Mus musculus: one gene and its partners. The main gene of each other region encodes a partner of the protein of the gene in region 5 in a complex. Links are inferred from orthologs where the notes say so. Each region holds a gene or a part of one and is shown on either strand. Other genes may lie near its edges.

What was found.
Region 1: the proteins of Mcm2 (region 5) and Supt16 are in contact, whole or in part, in a crystal structure (PDB 8YJF), measured with the Homo sapiens proteins. The link is inferred for Mus musculus from reciprocal best matches to the Homo sapiens genes MCM2 and SUPT16H. Residues at the interface, in NP_004517.2 of Homo sapiens: Ile73, Gly74, Asp75, Met77, Tyr81; in NP_009123.1 of Homo sapiens: Gln898, Ser899, Leu900, Asn901, Lys904.
Region 2: Mcm2 (region 5) and Gins3 share a complex: the UniProt entries of both Homo sapiens proteins name them as parts of the CMG helicase complex. The link is inferred for Mus musculus from reciprocal best matches to the Homo sapiens genes MCM2 and GINS3.
Region 3: Mcm2 (region 5) and Donson share a complex: the UniProt entries of both Homo sapiens proteins name them as parts of the replisome complex. The link is inferred for Mus musculus from reciprocal best matches to the Homo sapiens genes MCM2 and DONSON.
Region 4: Mcm2 (region 5) and Cdc45 share a complex: the UniProt entries of both Homo sapiens proteins name them as parts of the CMG helicase complex. The link is inferred for Mus musculus from reciprocal best matches to the Homo sapiens genes MCM2 and CDC45.
Region 6: Mcm2 (region 5) and Gins1 share a complex: the UniProt entries of both Homo sapiens proteins name them as parts of the CMG helicase complex. The link is inferred for Mus musculus from reciprocal best matches to the Homo sapiens genes MCM2 and GINS1.
Region 7: the proteins of Mcm2 (region 5) and Dnajc9 are in contact, whole or in part, in a crystal structure (PDB 7CJ0), measured with the Homo sapiens proteins. The link is inferred for Mus musculus from reciprocal best matches to the Homo sapiens genes MCM2 and DNAJC9. Residues at the interface, in NP_004517.2 of Homo sapiens: Glu65, Glu66, Glu67, Asp68, Glu104; in NP_056005.1 of Homo sapiens: Lys185, Arg189, Arg192, Lys244.

The regions. Positions count from the first base shown.
Region 1 is NC_000080.6:52,180,101-52,184,076, forward strand, and holds part of Supt16 (FACT complex subunit SPT16), read right to left. Parts: intron 3,921-3,976; coding exon 3,828-3,920; intron 3,083-3,827; coding exon 2,912-3,082; intron 2,210-2,911; coding exon 2,057-2,209; intron 1,584-2,056; coding exon 1,437-1,583; intron 1,069-1,436; coding exon 917-1,068; intron 174-916; coding exon 1-173. UniProt on the Homo sapiens protein: Component of the FACT complex, a general chromatin factor that acts to reorganize nucleosomes. The FACT complex is involved in multiple processes that require DNA as a template such as mRNA elongation, DNA replication and DNA repair.
Region 2 is NC_000074.6:95,632,180-95,636,720, reverse strand, and holds the start of Gins3 (DNA replication complex GINS protein PSF3), read right to left. Parts: upstream 3,163-4,541; 5' UTR 3,124-3,162; coding exon 2,938-3,123; intron 1-2,937. UniProt on the Homo sapiens protein: Required for correct functioning of the GINS complex, a complex that plays an essential role in the initiation of DNA replication, and progression of DNA replication forks.
Region 3 is NC_000082.6:91,678,566-91,682,523, forward strand, and holds the end of Donson (protein downstream neighbor of Son), read right to left. Parts: coding exon 3,951-3,958; intron 3,729-3,950; coding exon 3,530-3,728; intron 2,805-3,529; coding exon 2,592-2,804; intron 1,462-2,591; coding exon 1,324-1,461; 3' UTR 700-1,323; downstream 1-699. UniProt on the Homo sapiens protein: Replisome component that maintains genome stability by protecting stalled or damaged replication forks.
Region 4 is NC_000082.6:18,784,286-18,788,261, forward strand, and holds part of Cdc45 (cell division control protein 45 homolog), read right to left. Parts: intron 2,784-3,976; coding exon 2,645-2,783; intron 2,568-2,644; coding exon 2,484-2,567; intron 907-2,483; coding exon 788-906; intron 598-787; coding exon 521-597; intron 1-520. UniProt on the Homo sapiens protein: Required for initiation of chromosomal DNA replication. Core component of CDC45-MCM-GINS (CMG) helicase, the molecular machine that unwinds template DNA during replication, and around which the replisome is built.
Region 5 is NC_000072.6:88,895,609-88,900,379, forward strand, and holds the start of Mcm2 (DNA replication licensing factor MCM2), read right to left. Parts: upstream 3,173-4,771; 5' UTR 3,043-3,172; coding exon 3,037-3,042; intron 1,909-3,036; coding exon 1,679-1,908; intron 1-1,678. UniProt on the Homo sapiens protein: Acts as a component of the MCM2-7 complex (MCM complex) which is the replicative helicase essential for 'once per cell cycle' DNA replication initiation and elongation in eukaryotic cells.
Region 6 is NC_000068.7:150,907,991-150,912,486, reverse strand, and holds the start of Gins1 (DNA replication complex GINS protein PSF1), read right to left. Parts: upstream 2,894-4,496; 5' UTR 2,769-2,893; coding exon 2,694-2,768; intron 1-2,693. UniProt on the Homo sapiens protein: Required for correct functioning of the GINS complex, a complex that plays an essential role in the initiation of DNA replication, and progression of DNA replication forks.
Region 7 is NC_000080.6:20,385,947-20,390,481, forward strand, and holds the start of Dnajc9 (dnaJ homolog subfamily C member 9), read right to left. Parts: upstream 2,965-4,535; 5' UTR 2,838-2,964; coding exon 2,658-2,837; intron 2,495-2,657; coding exon 2,354-2,494; intron 2,266-2,353; coding exon 2,011-2,265; intron 1-2,010.

The DNA of each region.
Region 1 (3,976 bases), on a different chromosome or scaffold from region 5:
CATGTCTTAATTCCTTTAGCAACTCCTCTTGAAGTTGAAGTAAAAAGTTGTAATTTTCTTGAACTTCCTGAGTGGGGTCAACCATCAGAGTGCGAACAAGGTTGGAGCAGTAAGATTTAAAGCGAATGCCCATGGCACACGTAATGGCCCCAAAATGCATATGATTCTTATCACTAGAAACCAAAGAAAGAATGCATTTTATCACCAAATCCAGGAAAGTATCATCGGCACACAGCATCCACAACCAGGGAGCGATGAACACGGTATAAAGAGAAGAACAGAGCAGGGCTCTGCTGCTGAGGTACAGCATCAACCAGTCTCCTTTTATAGCACGTCTTAAAATTAAGAAAGAAGTTACCTGATGTATATCTAATGTTTTTATTTTATTTTTTCAGTTTACTTTATATTTTTCTAGCATACCCCCTCCCACACCTATACCCCCATCCCAGGATCTCCTTATGTAGCTCTGACTGGCCTTGAATCCAGAGAACCACTTGCCCCTGCCTCTCAAATGCTAAAAAAGCGTTTGCCACACCTGACTTTTTTAGAATTTAAAAGCATCTTAGTTACAGGTATGTGCCAATGAGGTCAGGAGGAGGGAGGCCTCTGACCCTTGGAGCTGGTACAGGTGTTTGTGAGCCACCTGATGAGGGTGATGCTGGTATTTCAACTCTGGTCCTCATGAGAGAATAGCAGTATGAGCTCTTTAGCACCAGGCTATCTCTTTAGCCCCCCTTTTCTAGCATATTTAATAATTTGGAAAAAATATTATTAAGTGCTATAATGTAAGAAGTAAAGAAACATATTCACAGAAAGACTATATATTTTAATCAGATTAATAATTCTATCTCTTTTGACTTTTTGAAAAAGTCAAAAGAAAAACCATGTTATTATATTATGTAGTTTCTACACTTACCTCACCACACTGAACTTGAGATTATAGTTGCCACCACTCTGAATGATAGGAGGGTAACACATTTCCACAGTAGAAGGATCTGCCCCAGCTAGGTATTTTTTTTCTTCAATGGCCTTTTCCACAGACTCAGCCAATTTGCTATGCCGAACTTTCTAGAGTACGTAGGAATACAGTAACACTCACTGGAGGGTAGTACACAGAAGTGCATGATATTTAATGTGTCATCTAAAGTCACAGCACATGCTGATATAATCTTTGGTGTACATACCACATAGATAACAATATACTAAGGAAATGTGGTGCTTACATGGAATTCATAGCTCTCCATGTTTTGAAAACACGTTTCCATGTTGGAGTAAAATAACAGCCTCAATAAACCACATTCACGTTTACTTATTTTGAAGGAGATGGCAGTTACCAACTTCAAAGGTAATAAAAAGCAAAACAAAGAGTGAAACAAGCCAGGCAGGATCAGGGCTGCTTCATCAATCCACTAAAAAGAGCGCCCCTCTTTCCTTACCTCATCTGCATCCACTATTTCCATGACTCTTTCCTTAAAGAACTTGTTGAAGACCTCAGAGGTGATGCTGGCTGCTTTCTTCATCAGGTTGAGCTCACCGTCCTCTTTCACAGCAATGGTGTATGCCACAACAGCGCTGATGTCTACCTGTAGCAAGGTGATGCATTTCTACTACACACAGAGCTGTTGCACACACCTTGAGAACCACCAGTAACACTATCTCCTCAGAATGCTCAGGCTCTTCCCAAACCGAGTCTACACTTAGAGCACCTCTCTCAGAACATGTGCTCTATGAGACACTAAGCTAATGCACTACTTACAACAAATTCATCTCTTTAGACATAATTATATTGCTGAAGGGAGACAGGCAGGAAGGCAGGGAAAAGATGACCCCAAAATATATTTTGGTCAAGAGATTCTTCTCAACCACCCAATATAAGCTGTCTAACGTGGTTGACGCACTTATTTTCTGACTGAAAACTAACTGGAATATTATTTAGCCAAAAGACATGAAATATGAACGAACATGGATTTCCCCAAATGAAAATCCTCTGCTCCAAGGGAAGCCCACTCCACCTCCCGTCTCCCTTTCAGTGTGCTGCTTCCGGATGAAGCCTTACTTTGTCAAAGCCCTCCTTGTTGAGACAATCACTCCAGCTCTTCATGAACTCTCCAGGGAACTTGTCTTTGCTGAACACTCCGATCTTCTTGCCGCTCTTGCTTTCTTTGATAGCGTCAATCATTTTGTCAAAGCTGCTCTTGTTACTTTCATTCTATCATTGCCACAGAAAAGGAGATGTTACTTCAAGAATTAGACTTTTATTTTCTATCTAATAAGTAGAGAGTAATAATCTAAACCATGGAGGATGAGTTCTCTGAGCCTCCTATCTATTTCTTCATGGCAGATTATCACATACTGAAAGCTGACAGACATTTCCTTTGCATATTTTGACAAGACAAGGGTATTCTCTTCCTTTAAGAAGAGACAAAAAAACTCAAATAAAAATTCTGAGAAATAAGCATATCTAAGTTATTGTAAGGATTTCTAGGCTATGTGCTCTAAGTAGTTATTGCAATGGAAACAAATTACAACCTGAGAACATGGTCAGTAAATTAGTAGTGCTTACCAGAGCCCACAGTTCATACTCCATTACCACCAAGCTAACAGCTCCAGAGCTCTTATTTTCCTACCCAACTGAAGACAGAGCTCTGTAATTAGAACTACAACTTTTCTTTTCTCCCCACTTTAACATAGGTTCTCTATGTTGCCCTGGCTGGCTCAGAAACTCACTATGTAGACCAGGCTGGCCTTGAACTCAGAGATCTGTGTGCCTTTGTTTCCTAAGTGCTAGGATTAAAGGCATGTTTTGCCATACCTGGCAATCCTTTCTCATGCATTTTAAATGTCCCAAGACACTTGTGCTCAACACTTAATACTATATCCCACATTTGTAACAACATATATTGGTCCCAACCTTCTCTCTGACAAGCAGTGTGATGGCAGGGGCTCCATTAGCATTCTCATTGCCTTTAGTATTGGCAATCTGTTTCAGAAACTCCACCTTCTTTTTGCTGGCCATGAAGATGATTTTGTCATCACAGAAGACCATGATTGTATCAGTTAGTTCATAACCAAAGAGCCACGTCTATGGAAAACAACAACAGTAACTAAAGTATTACAAATAAACATATAAATATATAGGTTAAGTTTCGATTTGGGATGGAGTAACTTTGATGTGGATACAAATAAACCAACCTGGATCAGGGGCTGAATAATAGGGGGCTAAATGGTGTGCACATGAGCATTCATTCTGTCTGCTTTTATATGCTTAAAATATTTCATAGTTAAAAACATCAAAACTGGACATTTTGTGTTTCATTTACTTTCCTTGGCAATGAAGGGAGTCCAGGGAGAGTTTATGCTTAGATACACTATGTCACAAGCCATTTTAAAATAGGAATGTCACTAGTCTTCATTTGTCTGTATTTCTGCTTAGAGTATAGAAAGAATGACCAGAGTTTTAGCAGCTATTTCATATCATAAGCAAAATGGAATATCGGGGAATTGAAAAAACCTGGGTTCCTGAAAATTCTTCATTCAATCCACTGGTTCTTTTTGTTATATGCAATTAAATACATTTTCTCTATTCATTCCTTTCTTCCTTAGGTTCTACTCAGTGGTCAATCCAATGGAAATTATGCAATGATACAGATGCTCTACTATCTACTCACCTGTAACACAGCACCAGTGAGAGCCTCAGACACAGGGAATGGGACTGAGTAACCGACTATCCCAGGAGAGAAAGTACTGAGCCTCTCAAATACCAAGCACATCTTTTACTACTGAGCTATGCACCAGACCCAAGTACTGAAAGCTGTAAGCCATTTTACCTGTAAGGCAGTTGACTTGGCATACACAATTTCTTCATCAACACCCACCGATACAACAATGGCATCAATACTGGCATACTCATCTTCTCCTTTCTGAAAAGAGAGGGTAATTTAAGGTATTTTAATTAACACCCCCAGCCCCCCGCAGT
Region 2 (4,541 bases), on a different chromosome or scaffold from region 5:
ATTTACGTTATGATCTAATAAAGACAGAAAATAAATCATAACAACAATCAGCTAAAACATGAGTTCTCTAAAGTAAATGAGTATCAATAATTTTTTTACTTTCCTTGAATATTTTCCATCTATGGTAGATAAGCTCTTGCTGGGTGTCTACTAAGCACTAAGTACCAGTCTGGATGCTAGTAGAATAGAATAAAATGAAATTAGTCTGAAGTCAGGTAGTGGTCTCTTTCCCCACCCACCTCATGGCTTTGGAGATGGCAGAAAGGGTCAATGTCTATGTTCTCAAAGCCTTAAAAGAAATGCACAACATGACAAGATGAGATGGCATGATGGATCAGAAATCTATAAAATCTATAAAAAGGTACAAAAGGGGACATGGAAGATGGCTCAGCACATCCTGCTCTTACAGAGATGGAGAGTTCAATTTCTAGCATCCACATCGGGCAGCTCACAGTTGCCTCTAACTACAGCTCCAGGGGGATGTGACTCCTCTGGCCTCTATAGGCATCTGCACCGATGTACATACATCTATACAGACACACACTGATACATCCAATTAGAATAAATATTTTCATATACAAAAACAACTGGATTAAAGGAAGCCATGGAAATTTTTCATCTCAAAGGGAGAACTATTGTAGAGGGAGGGGCAACTTTTAGGGGTAGAGAGGTAGAGCAGTCCACAAACATCCCAGGGCTGGAAATAAACAGCCCAAGGTTGCCAGGAGGCCAGGACTTGAGTGGCCAAGGTATTAGAAGGTAGGAAGCCAGGTACTTAAAACTAAGTAGCAGAGTAATTAGGCACTGACTTTAATGTAAACTAAAAATAGCAAATGGAAAATTGCAGAACTAAACAATAAGACAACTTAGGAAACAGGTGATGGTGGAACTTACAGTTCCCTGCCTCAGCCTCTAAAGTAGCCGGTATTACACAACTGGAGCACACGGCCCAGCTCACTCTGCCTATAAAGAAAGACTAAGGCAGGTGCAGGGGCATATAATGTGGCAGGAGAACAGAGTTCAAGGCACATATCAAAATCAACATAAGAAACAAAGTATGAAGTCTTATATCGATGAGTGAAATTAGATGTCATAAAAAAAATCTTCAAACCTAATTCTGTGCTGCAGAGGAATTCCAAATACTTTGTGTAGACACTATCTCTCAAACTGGAGCAAGACAGCCTGCTCCTTCAGAGTGGCTATATATAATAACTTCCAAGGAGTATGGCAAACATAACAAACACTACCTCAGCCTGGTGATCAGAATCTACCACAGAGTCGACAACACTAAGTTGGTGTGATGCAGTAAAAATGGAACCTGACCCCTGTGATCTCTCCCAAACCAATAAACCAGTTTGATCATGAGTAAAATATCAAGCAAACCTTATCTGTTATCATAGCCAGAAAACTGTCATTAGATACAACCACAACAAAAAAGCCTGACGATAGCTAAGAAGAACCCAGAGAAATATAATAGCTAAAAATTATTCTTTAATTCTTTTTTTTTTAAAGATGCTAGACTAGAATATTAGGTAAATTAAGAAAATAAGACCCAGCCGGGCGTGGTGGCGCACACCTTTAATCCCAGCAGAGGCAGAGGGAGGCAGAGGCAGGCGGATTTCTGAGTTCAAGGCCAACCTGGTCTACAAAGTGAGTTCCAGGACAGCCAGGACTATACAGAGAAACCCTGTCTCGAAAAACCAAAAAAAGAAAAAAGAAAGAAAAAGAAAAGGAAAAAAGAAAAAGAAAAAAAGACCCAAACTCGGCAGGATATCTTGTTCAGTAGAGTGTAAGAGCTCAACTAAATCCTAGCCATACAGTGGTGACACACACCTTTAATCCCAGCATCAGGGAGGCAGAGGCAAAAGGATTGCTGAGTCTGAGGCCAGCTTGGTATACAGAGCCAGTTTATGTCAGCCAAGGCTACACAGAGAAACTCTGTCTCAAAAACATTAAAAAAACAAAAACAAAAGACTCCTAAATCTTTCTCTATGACAATGGGGAGCCAATAAGTTGACATTTGGGGTAGAACTCTGTGGTAGCATGCTTGCCTGGCATGTGAAACGCTCCAGGATTCACCCCCAGTCCTGGAATATTCTTCAAAAACATGGCGGTCGACTCTGAAGAGTCGACTTACAAAGGACTGTGAGGTTGAGAAGCAGCCCAGGGAGCAAAAATGAGCCTTTCTGTTGTTGAAAAAGTAAAAATGTGGTGTTTTACTTTGAGAAAAAGTACCTAGAAATAGACAGAGACAAAATTGATACCCTTCCAAACAAAACTTAAAGGACCTAACGGGAAATGAAAGTAACCATTGCAAGTTACGCTCTTGGGACAAACTCGTACTTGAAGCCATAGAGTCCAAGGTTCGAATCCCAGTTCACCATTTACTGGAGGACCCTGGCTTTGTTAACCCAGCTTTTGTTAGGTTTATGGGAGGGCAAAAGGCTTAATACGGGAAGCTGCAGTTGCCATTTTTCAGTGCGACACTGAAAATTGTTATGAGCAACCTTTTACCGAGGACTGCCTTGGTTAAGCCAGCACGGACTTACTGTGGAACCCTGGCTGAGGTACTCACTCTTTGTAGAATTGCCTAAGCGAGAAGATGACAATTTATCCCCCCATCACAGACTCCCATCCCCTGATGGACAGTCGGTCCTCGGAAACAGGCTGCAGACACTGTCATAATTGTGCCGAGTGCGCATGACAATCTGCAGTTCCCAGACTTCGAAACTTCAAATAAGTTTTATGGAAACCATGAATAGAACCAAGAGACCCTGAGATGATGGGCTGGAGCCAAAGCCAATGACTTTGGAAAGTTTGAAGACTAAGATCGGTGGCGGGAGAGTCCTCCGAGTGCTGTGCAGCTTCCCGGGACCCCCGAGGACTCCCACCGCCTCCAGATCTTGGAAACCTCTGCCCCGGCCGGGCTCGCCTCACCTGAGGGAGCGGATGGTCCGGCTCGGAGCCCGCGCCCCGCTCCAGGAAGAAGGCTCCCAGGCGCGGCATGGGCGTCTCGACCCGCACCGGCAGCTTCTCCTGCGACATCAGGATGTCGTCCAAAGACAGGAAGTTCTCCTCCGGCCCCAGAGCGCCCGACTCCACTGGGAAATACGCCTCGGACATGGCAGCTCGCAGCACAGTCAGGGATGAGGAGGGCGCGCCACCTCAGCGAACTAGGGCCGGCTTCAAACTCGCTTTCCCGCGCCGCACTCGCCAGACCCGAGCAGTCGATTTCGGCGAGCCTGCGGCCGCTCAGGCAAAAGCAATCAATAAGGTCACAGATTGGGTCCAGTGTCCCCGCCCAATGCGGAAGCCCTGGATGAGTCGGCCGGAAGTCCTCCTGCAGCTTGTAGACTAGGCTGGGGAAGGTATATGAAGCTTGAACATCATTGAAGGGACAGCATGTGTCTGTACTAACGGAACTGTGTTCATGCAGCCTTTAAATACACACATAGAATTTAAAAACATCTTTGGGGATTCAAGTAATATCATTTTACACTATGTATTCCAGCCCTCATTAATCCCGCTTTTATTGCATTTTCACTGGTAGGTTAATTATTGTCTTTGAAAACAACAGAAGAAACTAAAACGCAAGCACTAGTCCAAATGTTTAACTGTGTGCTAAGTTACAAATTATTTGTAGTATTTTGGCCGGGTGTAGGTTCAGGTGGGGTGGGAGTCTAGATGGAGTGGTAGATTTATATATGGCTGGAAGATCTGAAGTTCAGGGCCTTGCTCTACTGTCAACTGGCAAAGTCCTCGTGTGGTGATCAGTTTGGGTTCCTGAAAGAGGAAACTAGACCAGTTTCCTAGTCTTTTCACAGCCACTCTGCAAGCGGGAGCTCCTATATCAAATGCGATCACAGGTAGAGTACCTGAGAACAAAGGAAAGACCACGGTTGCTTGGTTGCTTGGTCCTAGATTTGGCGGTACATACATGAATACAGGTTGAGGCAGATTGTTGCGAGATTTGCTACCGAATTTACCTACTGTAGGAGGGCATTCCTGAGGTAGTGGTTTGTGAGCAACACAGGAAAGGGGGCGAGCATGCCTTTCATCTTTTGTATTCCTTTTTAGTTTTGAATGAAATAATTTGTTAATGTATTTACATAATTCACTACATTTAAGCAATAGCCTTCTAAATATGGACTAGAACTTTACATATGCTAAGCAATAGTCACTTGCTTTTTCTTGCCAAAAACACTTGTATCACATGAATGCTTGAAGTATTTACACCACTTTCTTTACTTTTTATTCCTCTTCTTTTAACAACCATTGCTCTAGTCAGTTTAAGACATTTTATTCCAGACAGCTACTTTAAAAAGTTGCAATAATGTCAAGCATGCTGGCACATGCCTAGAATCCCTGGACTGGGGAAGCCAAGGCAACAGGATCTCAGGGTCGAAACAAGACCAGGTTATAGGGCAAGGCCTTATCTCTAAAACAATTATGACTAATGTGCTTGTTGACAAGAGCGGGTCAGAAGCAGACCCAGGGTGTGAGCTAGGCATGTCCTGTAACTACTGGCAATTTTCTGCATG
Region 3 (3,958 bases), on a different chromosome or scaffold from region 5:
ATATTCAGTGTGGAATGTTAAATAACGCTTTTATACTGTATTTTGTACTATGATGTAACTTCCCTTCCTTACGGCTAGGCTGCTGTAACACTTGCCTGTAATCAGTGAAGGGCTGTGCACCTTGTACTATTTCACAATGGGTTCTGCTGGACAGATACTGGGCCAGTGTTATTAAGGCAATGAAGCAAGATCTGTTCCACAGGGCTATGCCACCATCTCCCCCTTTTTGTAGAGATTATGAAAAGAAAGTGATACATTGTGTCATGATCAGTACTAAGTCCTGCATTCCCATTAAAGCCACTTGACTTGGGTCATAAGAAGGAAGTCAAAATGGAAGTCCAACTTCAGAGGCCAAGTACATATTAGTATGGCTTCAGTTGTGATATAGTTTTACTTTGATGTGCATTTTGAATTTCAGCTACACCTAGATAGACGTAAATAAAAATGCTGTAACCGACTTATCTAATAAAAATTGGCACCCAGCCGCTATTTTGTTGACTGAGGAAGTTTATGTTAATTTTTTAGGGTCTGATAGAATATTCATGTGTATTACAGTGGTATTCATATGCTATGTCTCTAAACTTTATTTTCAAAAGCTTAAGGCCCAAATACAAACTTCTCTGGAATAAATGTTGTGTCTTATTCTCTGGCTTTTATGGAACACATATAACTAAGCACTATTTGTTTCTTACCCAATTCTTGTGATTTCTATGCACGTTTATTTAAAAATACTGAATTTTATACACACATGCAAACACAGATTACCTGTAAGCATACTAAGTAGTAAGTTGACATGGCTGAGGGCCCAGCACTTAGATGAAGTACAAAGTAGCCTCCCCTCTGACTTGACACAGAAGATGAACATACGTGAGAGCAGAGGAACTAGAAATCATTAGTAAAAATGCTCATTTCCCTACGTCTTGAAAGAACTCACTGCTCGTCTAAGGTACAATGTGGATGCTTTAGTCTCCATTGGAATAATTGCTACAGGTAGTCTGTTTCTCAATTGTAATAAAACACTGACTTTTCTACTCAGGTTAACAATAAGTTGCAGGGATAGAACTCTTATTTGAATTATCTGAGGTATTAAGGAAGCTCCTTGCATCTTCATCTCTGAAAATGTATGAAAATAATAAAAGCAAAATCTTGATTTAAAACCTAATGCTATTGCATGTAATAAGTTAATATAAAAATGTTTAGGAACATTTCAGTATTTTAAAATATATTCTTCCGAATGAACTTTAAAAGCCAGGGGCCTACGCATCTTGCATTTCCTTGCTAGGAAGCTTTTTCCTCAGACTCCTTTTAGGCTTACTTTGGTGTTCAGGATCTCCAACTTAAAATGTAGTCACTCATTTCCACACTCCGCAGGGATGACTTCCCCAGCACTGGCCTCTGACTGAGCTGCTCCAGGGTTTTAGGATGCAGCCCACAATTAGCAAGGTCCTCACGAGCAACTTTCTGGGAAAACACAAGTCCACATCCATAAAGCACATTAGTTCTTGAACTCCGAGGTTTTGTTGTTTTTAAAAGATTTATACAAGTACACCAGAGCTGTCTTCAAACACACCAGAAGAGGGCGTCAGATCCCATTACAGATGGTTATGAACCACCATGTAGTTGCTGGGAATTGAACTCGGGACCTCTGGAAGAGCAGCAGTCAGTGTTCTTAACTGCTGACCCATCTCTCTTGCTTGGTTCACCAAGTTTTTAATAATCCCCATAAAGACTTGCCAATAAATGGCTCAGTCAATCATAGCTAGAAGATAATCCTAATAATTTCTGTAGTATGAAAATCCTAAATTAACTAGTCTATTAGGCTTGATAAATACTGTGCCAATTAAAGGACTGTAAACTATCTTTAAAAAGTCTAAAAAAGGGCTGGTGAGATGGCTCAGTGGGTAAGAGCATCCAACTGCTCTTCCGAAGGTCCAGAGTTCAAATCCCAGCAACCACATGGTGGCTCACAACCATCCGTAACAAGATCTGACTCCCTCTTCTGGTGTGTCTGAAGACAGCTACAGTGTATTTACATATAATAAATAAATCTTTAAAAAAAAAAAGTCTAAAAAGACAATCCAAAATAAATTAGTAACTAAGGCTTGAAGATGGTTTAGTGTTAAAACACTTGCTGTACAAGTGTGATAACCAGAGTTGGAGGCTATCTAGAATGCCCAAGAATGCTGGGCAGACATGGTTTGCACTTGTAATTAGTCTGAAGGTGGCACACAGAGACCAGCTAGCAAGATTAGCCACGTTCAGACATTCAGGTCTTGAGGAAAAGACTACACTGATGACTGAGGTAGAAGAGCAGCTCCGTGTGAGCTCGCTCAATCCCGGGTGCTCTTAAACACATGCAGAACTGCAAGTTATGTACACAGACATGAGAAACGGGAAAAATAGCTGGGGTAAATCATGTTTCCATAAACTACAAAGGAATCAGGAATTCATATTTAGCATTTCCTAAATTCATGAAATTTATCTTATGCCCATGTGGATATTAATTTGTAACTTGTTTTCAAACGATATAAATTTGGCACAAGTGACATTTACCCCAGCAAGAGGATATAGGGTATGACTGGTCTACTTACTCTGTCCAGTTCTTTATCCAGAGACAGGCCAACATTGAAAACTGCAGTTGGCTCGTGTGCATACAGTCCTGCAGAGAAGGACCCTCTCTGTGAAGATCGGAGTAGCATGCTCATAGAATGCAATGCATGAGGCATGACAGGCCCTGTGATATCCAAACTAAACTTATCTCTGTATCCAGAAAGAGCTTGTGTCTTTACATTACTGCTCCGTGCCTTCAGAACATTTAAAAAAAAGTCATGTGGTACAGAAAATTAGTAAAAGGGATTTGATATAACTCATGTCACCTAGCTCTCAAGCAAAACCAAAACTCCTGGGAATGCGACTTGGTCAAGCTGCTTGTCTAGTAGGCCTCCTCCCCCACGCAGTCTCAGTGCCGACACACAGCCCAAAGTATGCAACAACAGTTTACAATTATGAAAACTTGTTTATATGCTATCATATATATACACACACACATTTTTTGAGATCGGGTCTTACTATGTAGGCCTTGCTGTTCCTTAACTCACTGAGATCTGCTTGCCTCTGCCTCCCGTGTGCTGGATTTTGTATTTTCTCAAATGCATGCACACCCAGTTGTGCCTGTTACCCGTGGGGTAAGAAGGCATCAGAATCCTTGGCACTTGAGTTACCAATGGCTGTGACCACCACGTGGGTGCAGGGAACTGAATTTGGGTCTTCTGCAAGAGCAGCCAGTTCTCATATTTAAATACTGAGCCATCTCCCGAGTCCCTAGAATTATTTTTTAAAAATTGAGAATTTGAGCTAGGAATGGTGGCACACGCTTTTAATCCCAGCACTCAGGAGGCAGAGGCAGGTGGATCTCTGTAAACTTGAGATCACAGTAGTCTATGTCCAGGACAGCCAGGATTACAGAAACCCCAGGTTTACAAAAACAACACAAATTGCTGGACTGTATGTAGATGAAGTAAACACTTACCTTAAGCATTTGCATTGAGGCACCTCGGAAGGCTATTGGGGATAAGAGAGTGGGTGGGAGACCTGCCTGTGCACCTGAGGTAGCAACTAAACTCTTGCAGTTGATCAAAAAATTGAGCAGTTTGAAGGTGTTGAGTCCTTTCACCAGTACGACAGACTCAGGTCTGTGGTCCATTTGTACTTCATGTTTTTCTTTACGTCTGAAGACAACAGTCAAGGAAAGCAAAAGTAGCTCACAGAGGCGCAGCCAGCTGCCTGGGCGGGTGGGCGGGCTCCAGAGACCTGGGCCTTCCAGGCTCAGTCACAGCTTTAACGAAATGCTAACCATCTGAAGATGAGAAACCAACAAACACTTCATACTTGAGCAGCAAGGACTGTGTTAAAATCACTAACCCAGTGGAAGTTCTTAACACAAAGGATACAGCTTGAT
Region 4 (3,976 bases), on a different chromosome or scaffold from region 5:
TAGCTTGGGCTATATAGCCTGTGTCTCAAAAAAAAAAAAAAAAAAAAAAAAAAGAAGGTAAATCTGCTCAAGCATGAACCAAGTTGTGTGCTGCTCTCTCTGGTGGTCACCGGACTACGCCTTTCCACTCTCTGACTCACCCAACAGTTGCAAAAACTGTCTTGCAGGGTAGAGTGCTGGAGCCCCAGGTAAGGTCCTTCATGGTGCCAGCTTTGCCAGCCACAGGCTGTGTTGTTTCCTTTTGTACATGATGGAGACTGGCTTGGCCTCTGGAGTTACCACAGTCAGCCCCTCAGGGTGGGAACTGACTTTAGAGCAGGGTAGTGAGGCTGCATGTAGGCCTGTGCCTTCCCAGCAAGAGTTGTGAGAATTATAAAGGCAGCTTTGCCGAGGGCTGTTTTGGAAGGGCAAGGTGGATTGCTGGCTGGATACCTCCATCACCAGCTTGCCTCCCTCCAGGGCCAATGCTGGCCTGGAAGGTGTGAAGGCAGAAATGTGGTCACTGGGCAGAGACACTCACCTGAGAGGTCAAAGTAATTGTGTAGAGTCCGAGAGCTGGTGCTTTCTGCTGCCTTCTCAAAAGCCCGACCAAAAAAGCTAAAGGCACAGAACAGATACACTGTGAGACAGACCACAGACAACAGACAACTGACCCTTCCCAACCTGGCCCCAGTGACACAGACAGTGAAGGGCAAAAGCCACTTAGGCTCTGCAGAGTTGGTGGCCAATGTGCTGACACACCAGGGCCTTCAGCCTTGTTGTCCCAGGACACGTAGAAGCTGCTCACTTCTTTCTATCCGAGCTATCAGTCTCTGGGGGGATGCCCACCACGGTCACTGTGCCCTGTTCCACGCTCAGCGGGGCAGCCATCACCAGGGGCAGCAGCTTGCATCGTCGATTCTTTGTCTATGGAGACAGGAGCACTCTTGGTCACAGCACAGTCATTCTCAGCTTGCAGGGTGGAGCACACTGCTCAGCACCTAGAAACTCTGATAGCATTAGGCCACCCCTAAAGCCTGCAGGGATGCAGTCACTAGAGGGTATGCTAAAATTCCAACTTGATATTTTGGCTCTCAGCATCCAATTATCTACTGGCTCAACCCTCTTTGTACCCCAGCCTTGCTTTTCTCCAATCACCACCTCCAGGTCTCTAGGAACAACTCCCAACACTCCTGTCTGTTCTCCTTCCTCCCAGTGTGTGCCTCTGTTTGAAACTCATTCATGCACTCATGTCTCATGGGGACCTCCTGCACAGTTAGGACAGAGGGGCTGAGGTCCCCCTCACACTACCATTGAAGTGACCAACTAACAGTCCTGGTTTACACAGGCCTGAGGTGTAACCCAGCATGTGAAATGGGCACTTGGTGGGTGTTAAGTCAATGTCTGATAACTGACTAGACCTGTGAAGTGGCTGTCTTCTACAGATAAGGAAAGAGAGGTGCAGAGGTCAGATATTCCTTCTCACAACTGATGCGTGAGGCTGAGATCTGAATGAAGCCAACAGAATTGCAAAGTTCTAGTTTGGTCTGGTTCATCTTTTGACATTTTAATCATTCCTAGCAGGTGGCAGGGGATTGGTTCCAGGACCCCTGTGGACACCCAAATCTAAGAGTGTCATGTTTCTCATGAAGACACTATCACTTGTGTAAATTTTATATATAGTTTTATATATAATTGCATACCCTCTTCTACACTGAATCATCTCTAGAGCACTTATATTACCCAACGCAATGCTGACACATCACTTCACTTGCATGTTTTGTTTCTTGCAGGTTTCTCAAAGGAATTCTTTTTGGTGCTGGGGATCAGATATACTGCCAGGGCCTCACACATATTAGTCAAGGTTCCAGTACTGAGCTATATAGCCAATCTTCCTGAGATAGCTGTGATCAAAGACTGGCTGTCTGAGGAGGCAGAGCCCATGGAGACAGCATTAATTATCTTCAGAATATTAACATCATTGTTTTACTGATGAAACCTGAATAAATTTCAACTTCCTGATTCTCTTCATAAACCTCATCCTGAAATCACCAACTATCCTTTCTGCATCCATGCCTGAGAGAAGTCCTCTAGTAGCTGGGTTAGGGCCTGTCTAAATACCAACTGAGTTAGACTGTGTTCTAAAAAAAGATATTATTAGGGCCACAAACCTACAGAGACATTATCCAAACCTTTGTTAACTCCATCTTTTCTTGATTTGTCACAGATGACCCTAAGCCCCAGCCCCACAGCTTTCCAGGGCCCCTCCTACTTATCCGAGCGACATAACTAGTGAGTGCTAATTCTAGAGCTTGTAGGAAACTGGAAGGCTCCTAGAGGTGAGGTGAGGTAAAATATGGCCCCAAATACGGAGCATACCCAGCCTCATAGCTGCTCAACAGTGTGGGCAACCCTAGGCCACCCCTGACACGCGCTTAGCATGACGCCTGTCCTCTTGTACCCATGCCGTTACCACCTCATCCGCACTCCATCCAAGTGCTCACCGAGTACACAAAGGACTTGAGCAGATGTCTGCTGAGCAGACTCAAGGATGCTGGCTTGGAAAACAGGGTGACATCTGGAGTGCCCTGGAAGGGGAAGACAGCTGATCAGAAGGGGCTACTAGGGGGTGTGGCTTGGCACTGCCCGGGTAAGGAAGTCTAACCTCCATGAGTGAGCAGTAGAGAAAAGGGCCCTGGGAAGTGACGAGGTTGGTACAGAGACAGCTGGCGATGGTCTGTTGTGTGGCTTGGAGGTGCTTCTTGGCGAGCTCTAGACCAAGGTATAGCTTGTCCAGGTTACTCCTGAAACAGGGCAGACACAGGGCTTATGTGATGCTTGTTGGGTACTCTTGCTAAAATGCCAAGGCCAAACAGACTGCTTGATTCCTGGTTCAAGAAGGAGTTTAGGAGTAAAAATGTATCTTCTCTCCCCCATGAGTTCCTCTTCACATGAAAGGAAGGAACAATTTAAAAAAGTGTAACACAGCGATGGAGCAAGAGAGTCAAAAGACTCTAGGATCAAAAGACAGAAGATACATGGGTATGATGAGACATACTTGTAATCCCCGCATTCAGGAAAATTGTGAATTTGAGGCTAGTCTGGGCTACAAAACAGGAATCTAGAGATCACATAAGGAGGACCCAAGAAGGTACTTGGAGGGTTCCAACAGGGTACCTTAGGCAATGGATGGGGGAAATATAAAGACTTCCCACATCCACTCAAAGGATAAGAGAATATGCCTCTCTGAATATATATATATATTTTTTTAAAGCCTAACATATACATTGTCCCATTTTATTTATTTATTTATTTTTAGATTTATTTATTACATGTAAGTACACTGTAGCTGTCTTCAGACACACCAGAAGAGGGCGTCAGATCTCGTTACAGATGGTTGTGAGCCACCATGTGGTTGCTGGGATTTGAACTCTGGACCTTTGGAAGAGCAGTCGGGTGCTCTTACCCACTGAGCCATCTCACCAGCCCCCAACTCTCTCTGAATATTTTAAATGAAGACTCTAGGAAAGTAAGGCTGGCCTGCAAGCAAAGCATCTGTGCCCAGCAAGCTGGACCCAGACATCCAGGGCTCAGTCAGGATTCCATGGCTTCCTAAACACAAAACACCAGATTATCTGAGAACCACTTATGGCTTGAAGAGGGGTGAGGGTGGGGTGGGGGTGGGGGAAGATCCCAATAAAAACAGATGGTTAGAGATCAAATGAAACTTAAAATGACTCCATTATGCTCTGAGAGATTTGGGCAACCATTAACATTCCTATAACAAGAATAGGACACTAGGAAAAAAAGGTCAGAAACCAGAAGTGTTGACAGAAATGAAAACTTTGGAAAGAAATAAATCATTTACTCAAATGCCAGAGGACAGAAATCAAGAAAAGCTACCACAAGCTCCACAGAACAAATCCACGGAAAATGCAAAGCTTAGGAAGACAGCAACGTAAGATAAGGAAGCACTGCCGTCGGGAGGGCTAATGAA
Region 5 (4,771 bases):
AGATGCAGTGCTACAGGCTGCAAGCTCTTTCCTCATCGCCACATGGCCTCCCCACAGGAGGGGGCACCTAGCAGAGAAACAGACCCCGGAGTTCTCCCTTCTTCAGGGTGACTGGCTAATGTTCTCAAACTACCCTCTCAAAGCAACCAGTTTCAAAACACCAGAGGCAAAGCAGGTAGAAGTGCAGACTGGTCCTACGTAGAATGTAGTGGTTTCTGAGGAAAGTGTGTTCTGACCCTTAAAGGATCTCAGTCCACCGGAAACACACGCACTCAGTGAGATTCTAGTTAGTCTACAGCGGAACAGGCCACACAGTCTGGGGTTGGTCAAATTTCAACTCCAGAAGCTGTCCTTGAACTTCCACACGTGTGCTATGGCATGTGCACCCATACACAAACACACAATGAGCAATGTAATGAAATATTTAAAAAAAAAAAAAAAAAAAAAAGACTTTTAAAGAAATGACCCGGCTGCTCTTGCAGAAAACCTGGGCTCAGTTGTCGGCACCCACAAGGTAGCTCACAACCATGGGGTCTGACGCCCTCTTCTGGTCTCTACAGGCATAGGCATGCATGTGGTAAAACACTCAATACACACCTTCAATCCCAGCACTTGGGAGGCAGAGGCGGGGGTGGGGTGGTTCTGAGTTCAAGGCCAGCCTGGTCTACAGAGTGAGTTCCAGGACAGCCAGGGCTACACAGAGAAACCCTGTGTCGGAAAAAAACAAACAAACAAAAGACTGAACTTTGAAAACTCCAGAGTAAAATGTTGGCACAAAAGGATGAACACCAAGACTCCAGTTCTGGTAATTTGATTAAAACTGGGATCAACAGGCAGAAGAGAATGGCTTGCAGAAAGCTTGCACACACCGTCTTTGCACTGAAGGCTTATAATATAAAACTTCGTTTCTTTCCATACAAACCCTGAGTCAGATAGTCCTCAGACATCTCTAAAGTGTCTCTCACTTTAAAGAAGAGGAGGTGGCCCTGGAGCCCCCCTACCCCCCCCCGCGGCCCCCCCAGCAACTCTGCAGGAAAGCCCTTGCTGCTGAGCCCAGGATGATCAACTCCATCAGTCCATGGACACTCACTGCAGACCCAGTCTCTTCACACCTAGCCTGGCAGTGTGTAAAGAAAAGAACCAGATGGTGCAGACAGCCCAGTGATGGCTCATACCCCTCAGATATCCCCTACGGAAAGGTACAAAAGCAAGGTGCCAAAAGCCTCCTAAGTGGCCACATAACTGGTGTCGGTAAGGGAGATCTCCCTACCTCCTGGCAAAGCTCAGTTTCCTGACGGCCTCAGTCACCTTCTGTATGTCTGCTTACAACTCTGAACACTTGTGACCCAGAGCCTGATGCAGGCTGGGTGCAAGTTTGCTGACTGAACCATCTTTCCGAGTTGGTGCCACCCTTCAGGGCTCTTCAGATCAGACTCTATGGGTCCCCTTCTCCTAAGCGGGGGCTTGCCTGGGCTTTAGGGTCTAGTCTGAGGTGTATACAGTGAGCTAAATGCATCTTCCCAGTGGGTGATGAACCTCCACATCCCAACCAAGCCATATACAAAGGCAAAGTCACCAGGTTGGCTCATACACTCATGGGTCCCCAAGGCCAGGCCACCAGACACGGGGGGGGGGGGGGGGGGGGGTCCTTCTGCTAAGCCACCTAACCACAGCCTACCTCTCCATGCCATCACCAATGAGTTCCTCTCCATCCTCTTCTTCCTCCATGGGCCCCTCTGTGCCCAGCAGCCCCTCAGACTCATCTTCAAATGGGGGGAGGTCTCTGCCAGGGCTGGAGGTCAGGGCGTCAGCACGTCTGGAGCTGCGGCCTGGGCTGGAGGTGAGGGGATCACTGATCCGGCGCCGCTGACGGGCAGGGCTAGATGCTGAGAGAGACTCAGAAGACTCCTGTAGGAGAAAAAGTCTGCCATCAGACACTGGAGGGACACAGGCTGACAGCCTCCTGGTTACCATGGGGCCTTCCCACAGTCTGTCTCCTGTACACTAGGCATTGTTCTCAGGGACATATTAGTCCCTCAGATCTGTCCATGTCTGTCTTATGAAAAACCTCGGGGGCTATGTAGTTTTTTTTAAAAACCTGTTTATAATCTATTTTCACACCCCACTTAGCCCAAACCCCACAATATGCTGGGTGCTGAAACAAGAGGTGAAGATAAAAGAGGCATCAAGGAACACTATTCTAGAAGTGAATGGTGGAAAGAACAGATCTTTAACCTTTAATGAAAACGCTAACAGTAAGAGTAGGGAAGCCGAGCCAGGCAGTGGTGGTGCACGCCTTTAATCCCAGCACTTGGGAGGCAGAGGCAGGTAGATTTCCGAGTTCGAGGCCAGCCTGGTCTACAAAGTGAGTTCCAGGATAGCCAGGGCTATACAGAGAAACCCTGTCTCGAAAAAACCAAAAAAAAAAAAAAAACCAAAAAACCAAAAAACCAAAAAACCAAAAAAAAAAAAAAAAAAAAAAACAAAACAGAGTAGGAAAGCCGGGCCTGATGTCACAGGCATGAAATCCAAAATACCTAGAGGCTGAAGCCTGATGATCGCCAAGTTCAAGGCTAACCCGCACTACAGAGCGAGTTCAACCCCAGCCTGGGTTACTTAGTGGGACCCTTTCTACTTTCTTTCTTTTTGAGGAAGGGTTTCTCTGTGCAGTTTGGCTGCCCTGGAACTCACTCTGTAAAACTCAAAGACCCGCTTGCCTGTAACCCCCTAGTGCTGGGATTAAAGGCATACGCCTCCCCGGCCCAGCTATGAGACTCTCAAGAGAGAAGGGATGCACGCAGCTACGTGGTAGCCGGCTTTCCCTACATGCGCGGGGCTCTGGGTTCCATTTCCTGCAGCCTCACCACCATAAGTGCGTGTAAACCCGGGGCCTAGAGACACATGAGGAGAGCAGAGACGACCCGTCCCAGACTGGTGCAGGTAGCCCCGCACTCAAGCCTGCCACTAGAGGAAGATACCGGCCAAGCTAGCCGAGATCGCTGAATACCGCCCGCCCGGGATCAGCCCATTCCTCACCGCCATGTCTGCGCTAGCTCCACCGCACCAGCTGCCACCGGTTTTCGCGCGAAAACTAGACCACGTGACCCGCCCATGCCCGGGAAGCGCCGGGAGGACTCAGACGTCACTACGTCCTCGTCAATCTAGAGCGGAAGGAGGGCTAGAATGTTTGGGCACGCCCACACCAGAAAGCCCCGCCCCGCTCCCCGCCCACAGCTTTCAAAAGGCTGAGCCCTCGCCTCCTGCACACCTAGGCTTAACCCTTCAGCGTTTACCACGCTAAGGCAAGGAAGCGGGACTTTGGGTCACTAGTGGCTCTGAGGACCAATCCGGCCTTCTAGAGTGTGACCTAGGTATCTAAGTGTCGGTATGGCCACTTGTTGCAACTGAGACTGTTTCCTGATTTCTTTTTTTTTTTTTTTTTTGGTTTTTCGAGGCTGGGGTTTCTCTGTGTAGCCCTAGCTGTCCTGGAACTCACTCTGTAGACCAGGCTGGCCTCGAACTCAGAAATCTGCCTGCCTCAGCCTCCCAAGTGCTGGGATTAAGGGCGTGGGCCACCACTGCCCAGCTTGTTTTCTGATTTCTTCCTGATTTGGCATCAACCTCTCCCAAAGCACTGAGGTTCAATCCTTCAAGCACCCAGGCTGCTGTGGGCTTTTATCAAAGTGGGAATCAATTGTACTTGGCTGCAGTTGGCAAAGGTATGGGGAGGATGTTCCAGGTGAAAAGGGCCTGGTGCGTGATGCAGTACAGCGAAGGCTGGGAGTATATAGGGATTACCACTCCCTTGGTTCAAAGCTTGTAATGCCCAGGAAAGGTGGGAGAGTTCAGACTGCAGATTAGCAGTCTGTCTAGGAGTTGGAGCTCTGTCCTGACATGAGGTCACCTGAGGGATCTGTTAAATCGAGGTGTAGGATGAATCAGTAGCTACCACCTGACGAGGTGGGCAGAGACAGGCTGAGTGCTTCCAGTGAGAGGCCTGCTACTGTTCCTACAGTCTTAGGCATCTGGTTCTCAGCTACTGGGCAGGATGTGACTTCTGCTGTATGCACAGCATCAATAATCCCACACAGAACCTAGTGTAGGGCAGAGAGGAAATCAGGAAGGACGCTCAGAAAGGGGGATCTGCAGGCTTTATAGTACAAGAGATACCCCAAGGTGCTAAAGGGTATCTTAGGGAGATGGGCTAGTATGACCTCTGAGACAGGAATCCACACCCTCTTGTCTGCTGGATGCCACTGTGGTACCCAGAGCTGCTATCGATGCAGGAAGGTACTGCATCTATATGCCAGAGACTCAAAAATAAATAAATAAAAAATAGAAAGCATATTATGCCACCATAATAGGATATGTTCTTTGAAAAGCTGACTGTGTCCACCATAAGCCCCTAGGCCCCTACAAGTTCCAATGATATGACAAGCACCCAATTCTTAAAAAAAAAAAAAACAAAAAACAACTTATCTTCCTCCTTTATAGAATCTCTCATTACTGGTCTGCCATTCCATGCTTACCCATCCTTACTAGCAGGGTGTCATGGACAAGATAAACCAGAGCCACATTCTGTGAAGAGTCCAAGTAGCCTGGGCCTTGCTAGACCTGGTGACAACGGAGAGGGGTAGAGTCACCACAGGCCTGGAAGGACCCTGCAGGTGGGTAATCCCTTTACTGTAATGGGATAGAAAGAGGTGTGGTTTGTAATTTTGAAAGATCAGAACAGCGAGTGAGATTGACATAGGGAGGGTCCCAGTGTCCC
Region 6 (4,496 bases), on a different chromosome or scaffold from region 5:
TTCCTACTTGCATAAGACCTTTGAGCTCTGTGCCTGCACCAAAAAAAAAAAAAAAAGGTTAAACAGAACTACCATATGACCCAGCAACTCCACTCCTAGGTTATTATACACAAGCCCGGGTTTTCTTTCTTTTTGCTTTGTTATTCCCACCACTAGTGCTGAGCTAAATCGCCAACTCACACAAAAACTTACAAACAATTGTGTTGTGTTTGAATTTTTTTTATCTTTAGGGTTTCATAATTTGTTTTCTTTTTTTAAGATTTATTTATTATTATATCTAAGCACACTGTAGCTGTCTTCAGATGCACCAGAAGAGGGCGTCAGATCTCATTACGGATGGTTGTGAGCCACCATGTGGTTGCTGGGATTTGAACTCAGGACCTTAGGAAAAGCAGTCGGTGCTCTTAACCACTGAGCCATCTCTCCAGCCCTGTTATTTGTTTTCTTGAGACAGGGTCTTACTAGTACTATGTGACCCAGGCTGACCTAAAACTCACATTACATTTCCTGCCTCAGCACCCCAAATCCTGGAATTATAGGCATACGCTGACTGGGCAGAATTATTCAAAATAGTCAAAAAGCAAAAATAATTCAAAGGACCAACAACAGATGGAGAGATAAGCCAAATGTGGTATATCACCCAATGGAATGTAATTCAGCTATGAGAAGGAATGAGTACTGACACATGATAAACATAGATAGATCCTGAAAACTCCACATTAAACCAGAGGCACCAGACACAAAAGGACTATAGTTTGAGTCTCCTTACTTGAAATACCAGGCAAGGCAAATTCATACATAGAAAAGCAATGTAGCCAGACACAGCAGCACAGGCCTAGAATCAATGCCAGCAAATGGAAGGAATATCTCAGGTTGAGGCCAGCTTTGACAACTTAATGAAAACTGTCGTTTAAAAAATAAGAGCAGGTGAGATGGCTCGCCATGTAAGGGCACTTACTTCCTAGAGTGCTGACCTCCTGTAACTCACACAGTAGAAGGACAACTCTCTTGTCCCCTAACCTCTACACCTGTGCTATGGTATGTCACAACCCACATAAGTAAATAAATATAACAGAAAAGTGATGATCAGGACCTGTGAGAAAAGGGGGACTGGGCAGTGCTACTCAACAGTGACAAAGTTTCTGCTGGAGTAATGAAATGGGTTTGGAAAGAGTGAGGAAGGTTTGAAAACAATGTGGATGTAATTAGTACTGCACATACACTAAGTTAAAACGGTCAAGTTTATATTTGTATGTGTATTTTTAAAAGATAAAACAAATAGCCATTGGAAAAGTGCAATAGGGGCTGGAGGGATTGGCTCAGAGATTAAGAGCACTGTCTGCTCTTCTAGAGGTCCTGAGCTCAATTCCCAGGAACCACATGGTGGCTCACAACCATCTGTAATGGAATCTGATGCCTTCTTCTGTATGTCTGAAGACAGCATCAGTGTAGTCACATATGTAAAATAAATAAATAAGTCTAGAAAGAAAGAAAGAAAGAAAGAAAGAAAGAAAGAAAGGAAGGAAGGAAGGAAGGAAGGAAGAAAGAAAGAAAGAAAGAAAGAAAGAAAGAAAGAAAGAAAAGTGCAATAGGGGCTGGAGAGATGGCTCAGTGATTAAGAAAGAAAGAAAGAAAGAAAGAAAGAAAGAAAGAAAGAAAAGTGCAATAGGGGCTGGAGAGATGGCTCAGTGATTAAGGGCACTGGTTGCTCCTTTAACCGGACCCAGGTTCGACACATCTAGCACCCATATGGTGATTCATAACTGTCTATAACCGTCAGTTCCAGGAGAATTCACTGATCTCTTCTGACCTCTGTGGACACCAGGCATGCACGCTGCCACATATATACATGCACGCAGAACATTCATACACACAAAATTTAAAAATAAATCCTTAAAAAACAAGCATTATAAAACTACTGAACTACTGAATATTAGAATAGTCTCAAATACATTATACTGAGCAAAAGAGGCCAGAAATAAAGACTGCATTCTACATGATTCCACATGGCCCTGTTCCATGACGTGTCAGCTCCTAGCCAGCCGAATGAACCCAGATACATGGGGCGCGGGGGGGGGGGGGGGGGGGGCGATGGGGGGGAGAGGCAAAATCTACAAACAAGAAAAGCAAATCTATGGTTTACAAAGGCTGAAGCTGGGACACAGCTTCATAGCAATCCCCAGAACTACTGGGGTTATATTAAGATGCTACTGGCTCATCAAGAAGCTGGCTATAAAAATGCATGTGGATCTGGAGGGATGGCTCTGGCACCCACAACCCACCTATAACCCACACCCTCTTCTGGCTTCCATGAAGCACCTTCATGCAAGTGAGACACATACTCATAATTTCTTTTGTTTTGTTTTGTTTTTTAAATAGAGTTCCAGGCCAGCTTGGACTACATGAGGACTTATCTCAAAAAACGAAAACAAGAAACGCTCAGATGGGGCAAGTCACCAAATCAACAGGTAACCTAAGTATGAGTCTTTTTCTTCCTACGATTTGGCCCCGTTTCAAACTTGTTTCCGATCTCGGAATCTAGCAAAGAGATAAAGTTAGCCCAGCAACCAACAAAAAAAAAAAAACCTCCAGCAAGCAACAGCAGGCATAGGCTCCGCCCCAAGGCATGAGGCCCCGCCCTAGGCCCCCAGGCCTGGCCCTCGACACGCCCCTTCCCGGCCGCCGCTCCTCACATTAAAGGCCGGCAGCTGCCCTTCCGGCGCGCGGTGTAACTCGCGGACAAGCTCCATAGCTTTTTCGCAGAACATGACGGACGCGCCCGGGTCCCGTGGTCCCGTCAACTGCCAAGTCACCCCAAACGGTCGCTAGTTCCCAGGCCGCGGCACTTCTATTGTTCAGAGTCGCACAACACCAGCAACCAGCTCCTCGCTTTGGCGCCAAATAGGCTCAACCAATAGAAGTGCACTGGTGCGGGGTGGGGATGGTGGGTGGGAGAGAACTGAGCTACGGTGGCCGAGAAGGGACATTTAATTTTATTGAGCAACCTCACTGAGCTTCAGGAAAATTGGGGTTAAAGAGAATGGTTTCCTCCCTGGCAAAGCCAGAAAGTAAATTGCGTCTAAGATTGTGGGCTGAAACAAAGGGCTGTTTTCGATTGTCCAGCAAAGTAAAGTGCACATTCTTCTCCTCCTTTTTATTTTTTCCATTTGAATTTATTATCTTTAGATTGCAAGAGGCACCTTTAGGTTGAAGAAAAGTCGAGAAAGTACTGGTTATGATGCAGTGTTTGAGTTTTGCAGTGCCGGTTGTTTAACATTAAAGAGAAACCTTTTTTTTTTTTTTTAAACAGGGACTTGGGGATTGGAGGGGTGTCTTTTTTTTGTAATTTATTTATTATTATATGTAAGTATACTGTAGCTGACTTCAGACACACCAGAAGAGGGCGTCCGATCTCATTACAGATGGTTGTGAGCCACCATGTGGTTGCTGGGATTTGAACTCAGGACCTTTGAAAGAGCAGTCAGTGCTCTTACCGGCTGAGCCATCTCCCCAGCCTGAGAAACCGTCTTTTATTGGGTACTTTTAGTATGGTAGGAACTATGACATATATTTCAGTTAATTCTCACAACTTTCCTTAAGAGATTACTAGTATGCAGAACTGGTAAACGAAAACAGTTAACTCTCTGCAGGTCACATGGCTCATAAACTGACTAGAATGGGATCTCTATGCTTCGCACTTTCTGCTCTGGCACTTTTTGATTTTAAAACAGTTAAAAATATTCACAAACTGGAAAATGTCGCAGATAACAGCAGTTTTAAAATTGGTTCTGAACTGATGGTGGAATGCCTGCAATCCCAGAACTTTTGTGACAGAGAAAGATTACTTCAATTCAGTTCAGGAGTTCTAAAGGAGCCCATCTTAAAAACAAACAAACAAAAAACAGTAAAAATACTCTTGATTTGCCTTCTGTTTCTGTGATAAGACACCATGACCAAAGATAAACTAAAAAGGAAAGGGCTAATTTCAGCTTGCAGTTGTAGTTCCATGCCATAAAGGGTATTCAGGGCAGGAACTCAGAGATCCTGGAAGAAGGCTGCTTACTGGCTTCCCATGGCTTCCCAGGCCTTGGGGTGACACTCCCCTTAGTGGTCTGGGCTGTCCCAAGTCAATTATTAATTAAGAATACTCCTACAGAGTGGCCAAGCGATTCTGATGAAGGCAGTTCCTCAAGATTCCCTCTTCCCAGATATAATTACGTTTGTGTCAAGTAGACAAAAATTCTCTAACCTTCACAACCCAAGATAAAACCATACCATAAAACCTACTTGTTTCATTCACACCCACACCCACCCCCTTTGAAATTGGGTCTTACTGTGTTGACCAGGCTGACCTCAGAGTCATAGAAATCCACCTGCCTCTGTCTCCTGGGTGCTGGAATGAAAGGTGTGTGCCACATTGCCTTACTATTTAGCTGATTTTTGAAAAAAGTGTTAACGTCTATAAAACAATAATAGATTTTTGTCTTGTTCTTTTG
Region 7 (4,535 bases), on a different chromosome or scaffold from region 5:
ACCCCTTAAAGACAACATTAGCCCCTTCCTAGAGCTGGAGGTCTAGGAACTGCTCATGGAAGCAGTCTTACTCCAGGAAGTCCTTCTATGTTATCCCCATTCTACTTCCTAAATCTAGAGCACAAGTACGTCAGCATCTCAAACCATATGATGACACAAAGGAACCTACTAGGGGACCCAAAGGGTCACATAGCCAAGGACAGCGTCAAAACGGATGCCAGGTACCAGGCACTTCAGGATCTTCATCTGAAACCCCATTTTGTACACAGCAGCCTAGTGAGCTGCAATGATTTAAAGGCTTTCTCTGGAGCTGGATAGCTGGCCCAGCTGTTAGCACTTCTTGCTCTTCCAGAGGCCATGCGCAGCATCCACACCAGGTTGTCTGTCACTCTAGCTCCAGGGAATCAACAGCTCTGAGGGCACCCACACTCATGCACTCACAAACGCAGGCACAAACACATGCAAATACACACAACACAAATTTAAAATGTTTTCTGAGTAGTCAGAAAAAAACATTAGCAAACTCAGTTTTAGCCTTTCTTTACCTGATTTCAAAGCTATCTTCATTTAACAAAATTTGCCAAAATACCACAACAGCTAACAGCAAGAACTGTGAGGCCCTAACTCATTGTAAAAATTTCCAAATCACCACTGGGAATAAGGATAAATTGGGATCTTGTTATTCCAGAACAAAAAACAAGTTTTGTTCTATTATCGTCTCTTAAAATTCAGCATTCCTCAATCCCTTTACACAGCTTTCAAACTGTCATTTCCCCTCTAACTCCAAGTTTCTCAAACCAAAATCCTGATCTAATACAGCTGTTCTGTTTTACATGCGAAAATGATTAGCAAGCAACAGCTGTGACTCCAAGCCATGAAAAAGGCATAGCAGTCTCTTCTCTGTAAAGCAGGCCCTTAAACTCACCCCAAACACTAAAGTTAGTTTTTCTCTCTGCATGTTCTTGTACTAAAAGCTCCAGGTCTTTGCCCATCCACTTGAGCCACACAAAAGACAACTCAAGTACCCACCAGACACCTAACATCTTAAATTGCCAGCTCTCCAGTCAGCTCCAATCGTGAAAGCCAAGACGAAGCAACCATTGCTTTACCAGCAGTCTGGGGTAACTTTCCCAAAGAGCGTAAGCAGGGTTGTTTGCTTCCTTCAACTCCTCAGCTAACATCCCCACTCTTCCTGGTTAGACAGGGATGAAGGGATGAAGAATCAACCGCAAGTCCCAATCCTCAAGTGTAGGCAATTGTGTTCCTCAGAGTGGGGACAGGAGAGACCACCCAGTGGTTACATGGAAACCGGAGGTGTCAAATCTTTGGGAGCTGGAGTTACAGACGGTTGTGAGCCACAACACCCAACCTTGGTCCTGAAAGTTGAACTTGGGTCTCTGTAAGAGGAGTACATGCCCACTGAGCCATCTCTCCATCCCCTTGTGTGTGTGTGTGTGTGTGTGTGTGTGTGAAATAACTATATGTATTTACAGAATTTTTTTTAATTTTTGTTTTCTCCCCCTCTTCTGGGCAGTTTTGGAGAATTAGGGACCTCCCACGTACTAGACAACCAATGCAGCACGGATCCACACAGCGCAGCCTGACCTCAAAAGTGGCAATCCTCAGTTAGCTTCCTCAGTGCTCAAGTACTGGGAGCACCACCCCGCCATTCTACATGTTTAACAGCACACAATCACTGCCATCTTCTACCTGTTCAATAACCACACAAGGCCCACAGCCTTGTAACCAGGCTCCATACAGCAAAGCTACAAGGACTGCCTCGTGTGAAAAGTTTTTCAGAATCACTTGAGGGTGACTTCAAACAGTCCATAAAGTGGAATCATTTTCAGCACAACATACCAAAGTAATCAGGGCTTTCTTCCTGGTCATCTAGTTAGATCAATGCTGCAGGTCAAGCAGTCATATCGCAGCAGTCTATTTCCGTCGCTGTGAATACAGCGAGACCCTTTTTTGAAGCAGCTGAGATGTGCTAGGAACAACACTACTTACCCTCCTTTTCCTTGCATTCATCTTTTGTTTAGACTCTTTGACGAAGGCGCTGTAGGCTGGAATCTCTTTGGATTCAATAGCTTTTTGAATGATGTTTCTTATCCTGGGTTCATCTGTGTACTGTACACAAAGTACAGACTCCATGATCTGGTCCATGTCGCCCTTGAAGTCCAGATAGGCCTGCTTAATATCGTTTAGCTCTTCTTCGGAGCCTTTGTATGTCTTTTCAAAAGCTTGGATATCCTCTAGCGATATCTAATAACAAAGAAGATTGCTTTAACTTCGCGAATTGTTCTTGTGGACTGAATGATGAGAATTAGTCAAAGCCACTAAAGCTCTTTACCTTTTTAAAGAGTAATCTCCAATATGCATCCCAGTCCCGGTCTTGGTTGAGGCCAGCAGAGTCTTCGTCCACTGTCCCCTGTTCATCGTACACTGCTTTCTGTTCCTTGTCACTCAGAACCGCGTAGACTCTTCCCAAGATCTGTAAGCAGAGTATCCAAAAGTCATCCTGAACCTCCCACCGAAACAGGGCAGCTAGAAAAGCTGAAAAATGCCAGGCCGAGGATCAGCAGTGCGCTGTCCTAGGAGCAGGGGCCCCGCGAGAGCACAAGTCCGGGCAGCAGTCCGAACGCGGGCCCACAAACCTGGAAGCGGCGGGTGGCGTCCTCTTTCTGGTCCTCCTCTACTCGGTCGGGGTGCACTTGCAGGGACACTTTGTGGTAGCCGCGTCGGACCTCGCCGTCCGAAGCCTCGCGCCGCACGCCCAGCACTTGGTAGAGGTCGGCGGTGCCAAACACCTGCTCGCACAGCTCCAGCAGCCCCATGCCAGGGAAGAGGCTGCTCCGCGAACCCGGGGAAGCTGTAGCCACAGCCGCTCTGCTGGACAGCGGACCGCCGGCCGCCTTTTCCCGCCCAAATAACTCTGGGCGCCTGCGTCACAGGAGAAGCGCCGGGGGCGGGGCCAGCCGCACTTTACGGCAGCCGCAAAGCAGCCTCGCTCTCGCCCGCGAAGTAAAATGAGACGGCGGTGGCGTCTTCTGGAGAGGAGGCACGCCCCACCCGGTGCCAGCCACTACTGCGCTTCCTCCCAGTTCCCTGCACAGCTCAATGATACATGAGAGTACGGTACAAGACACAACGAAAGTTTTCCGAATAGAGAGCGGATGCTCGGGCTGGAGAGGATGCTCAGCGGGTTGGAGGGCATGCCGCCATACCTGACGACCTCTGGGACCCATACAGTGGCAGGAGAGAACATACTCTGTCAAGTTGTCTTTTGGCCTACACACACACAAACACACACAATCATACACAATCATACAAAATAAGGAAAACTGGGAAACTTGACATGTTCAACCCAAAGGTTAATGTGTTTTTTAAGGTGATACTCAGAGTACAACTATAGGCTTAGATGACTTCATCTGGGATGAATCCCTCAGTCCATGCAGGAATAGCCTGTATCAATCAAAATACACAAAGCACAACTTTTAAGAATGCCTTTTATCTCAAAGGATGTGTATCTTTGGCAGCACAGAATCAGCGCCACTCACCTGCTGCAGTCACCTCACACAGCAATGGAAACTAATTGCACTGACCCACCCATCCTATCATTTTAAATAGTTCAGTGCTTCTTCGGCTTTTCCCCTCCTCGGATCTAAAAATCAAGGCCAACTAAACTTAGTTCCTCTCTTACCTACTTTCAAAGTTCCTTCATGCCCAGTGAAGGAAAACCAGCAGCCACACTGGATGGAGAGCAACCTCTGAATGTACATAAGTAACTATTCTCAGAATCCAGATAAAACAGGCCAGAGCACTACATTCCTAAAGAATGTAGCCTTACTCTAGAACTTAAAACCTACATTAACCAGCACGTAAAAGCAAACCTGTGATTCGTGTTTATAGCTGTAGAATCCCATGGTTCTGGGGCACTGTGAGGCAGACGGTGTGTTTGATTTCATACAGCCTGTCATTTACATACTGAACTCACAATACCTAAACACGACTCTATCATAGACTGTTCTGTGTATGCGTGCACATTCATGTGTTGGTTAGAGTGGGCATGTGCATGCTTTAACACATGGAGGTCAGATACCACCTTAGGTGTCAGTCTTCACTTCCTACCTCATTTGACACAAGATGTCTGTGTTGTTTCTCCACTGTGCATGCCAGCTTGCCCGTGTCTGAGGATTCCTTTGTCTCTCCACCGTCCCATGTCCCTGTAGGATGCTGCTATTGCAGACTCTTTGCTTCCTGTCTAACTAGTACATGGGGTCTAAGGATGTGAACTCAGTACCTCAGAGCTAAGGTAAAAATAAAGCGCTTTACGTCCTGAGCCATGTTCTAGGCTTCCCACTGGCATTTAAAGTGAGCTTTGGAATGGCTGTCTTATCATTTGTTTTTCCTTTCATATAGGCAACATTATATGTAGGAAAATACTTTGTAGGTAGACATACGGAGTTTGAATCCCAAGTTGTTCTCAAGTTATGTTTCCTACTCCTGAGCATAGCCTCCCTCATCTGTAACCG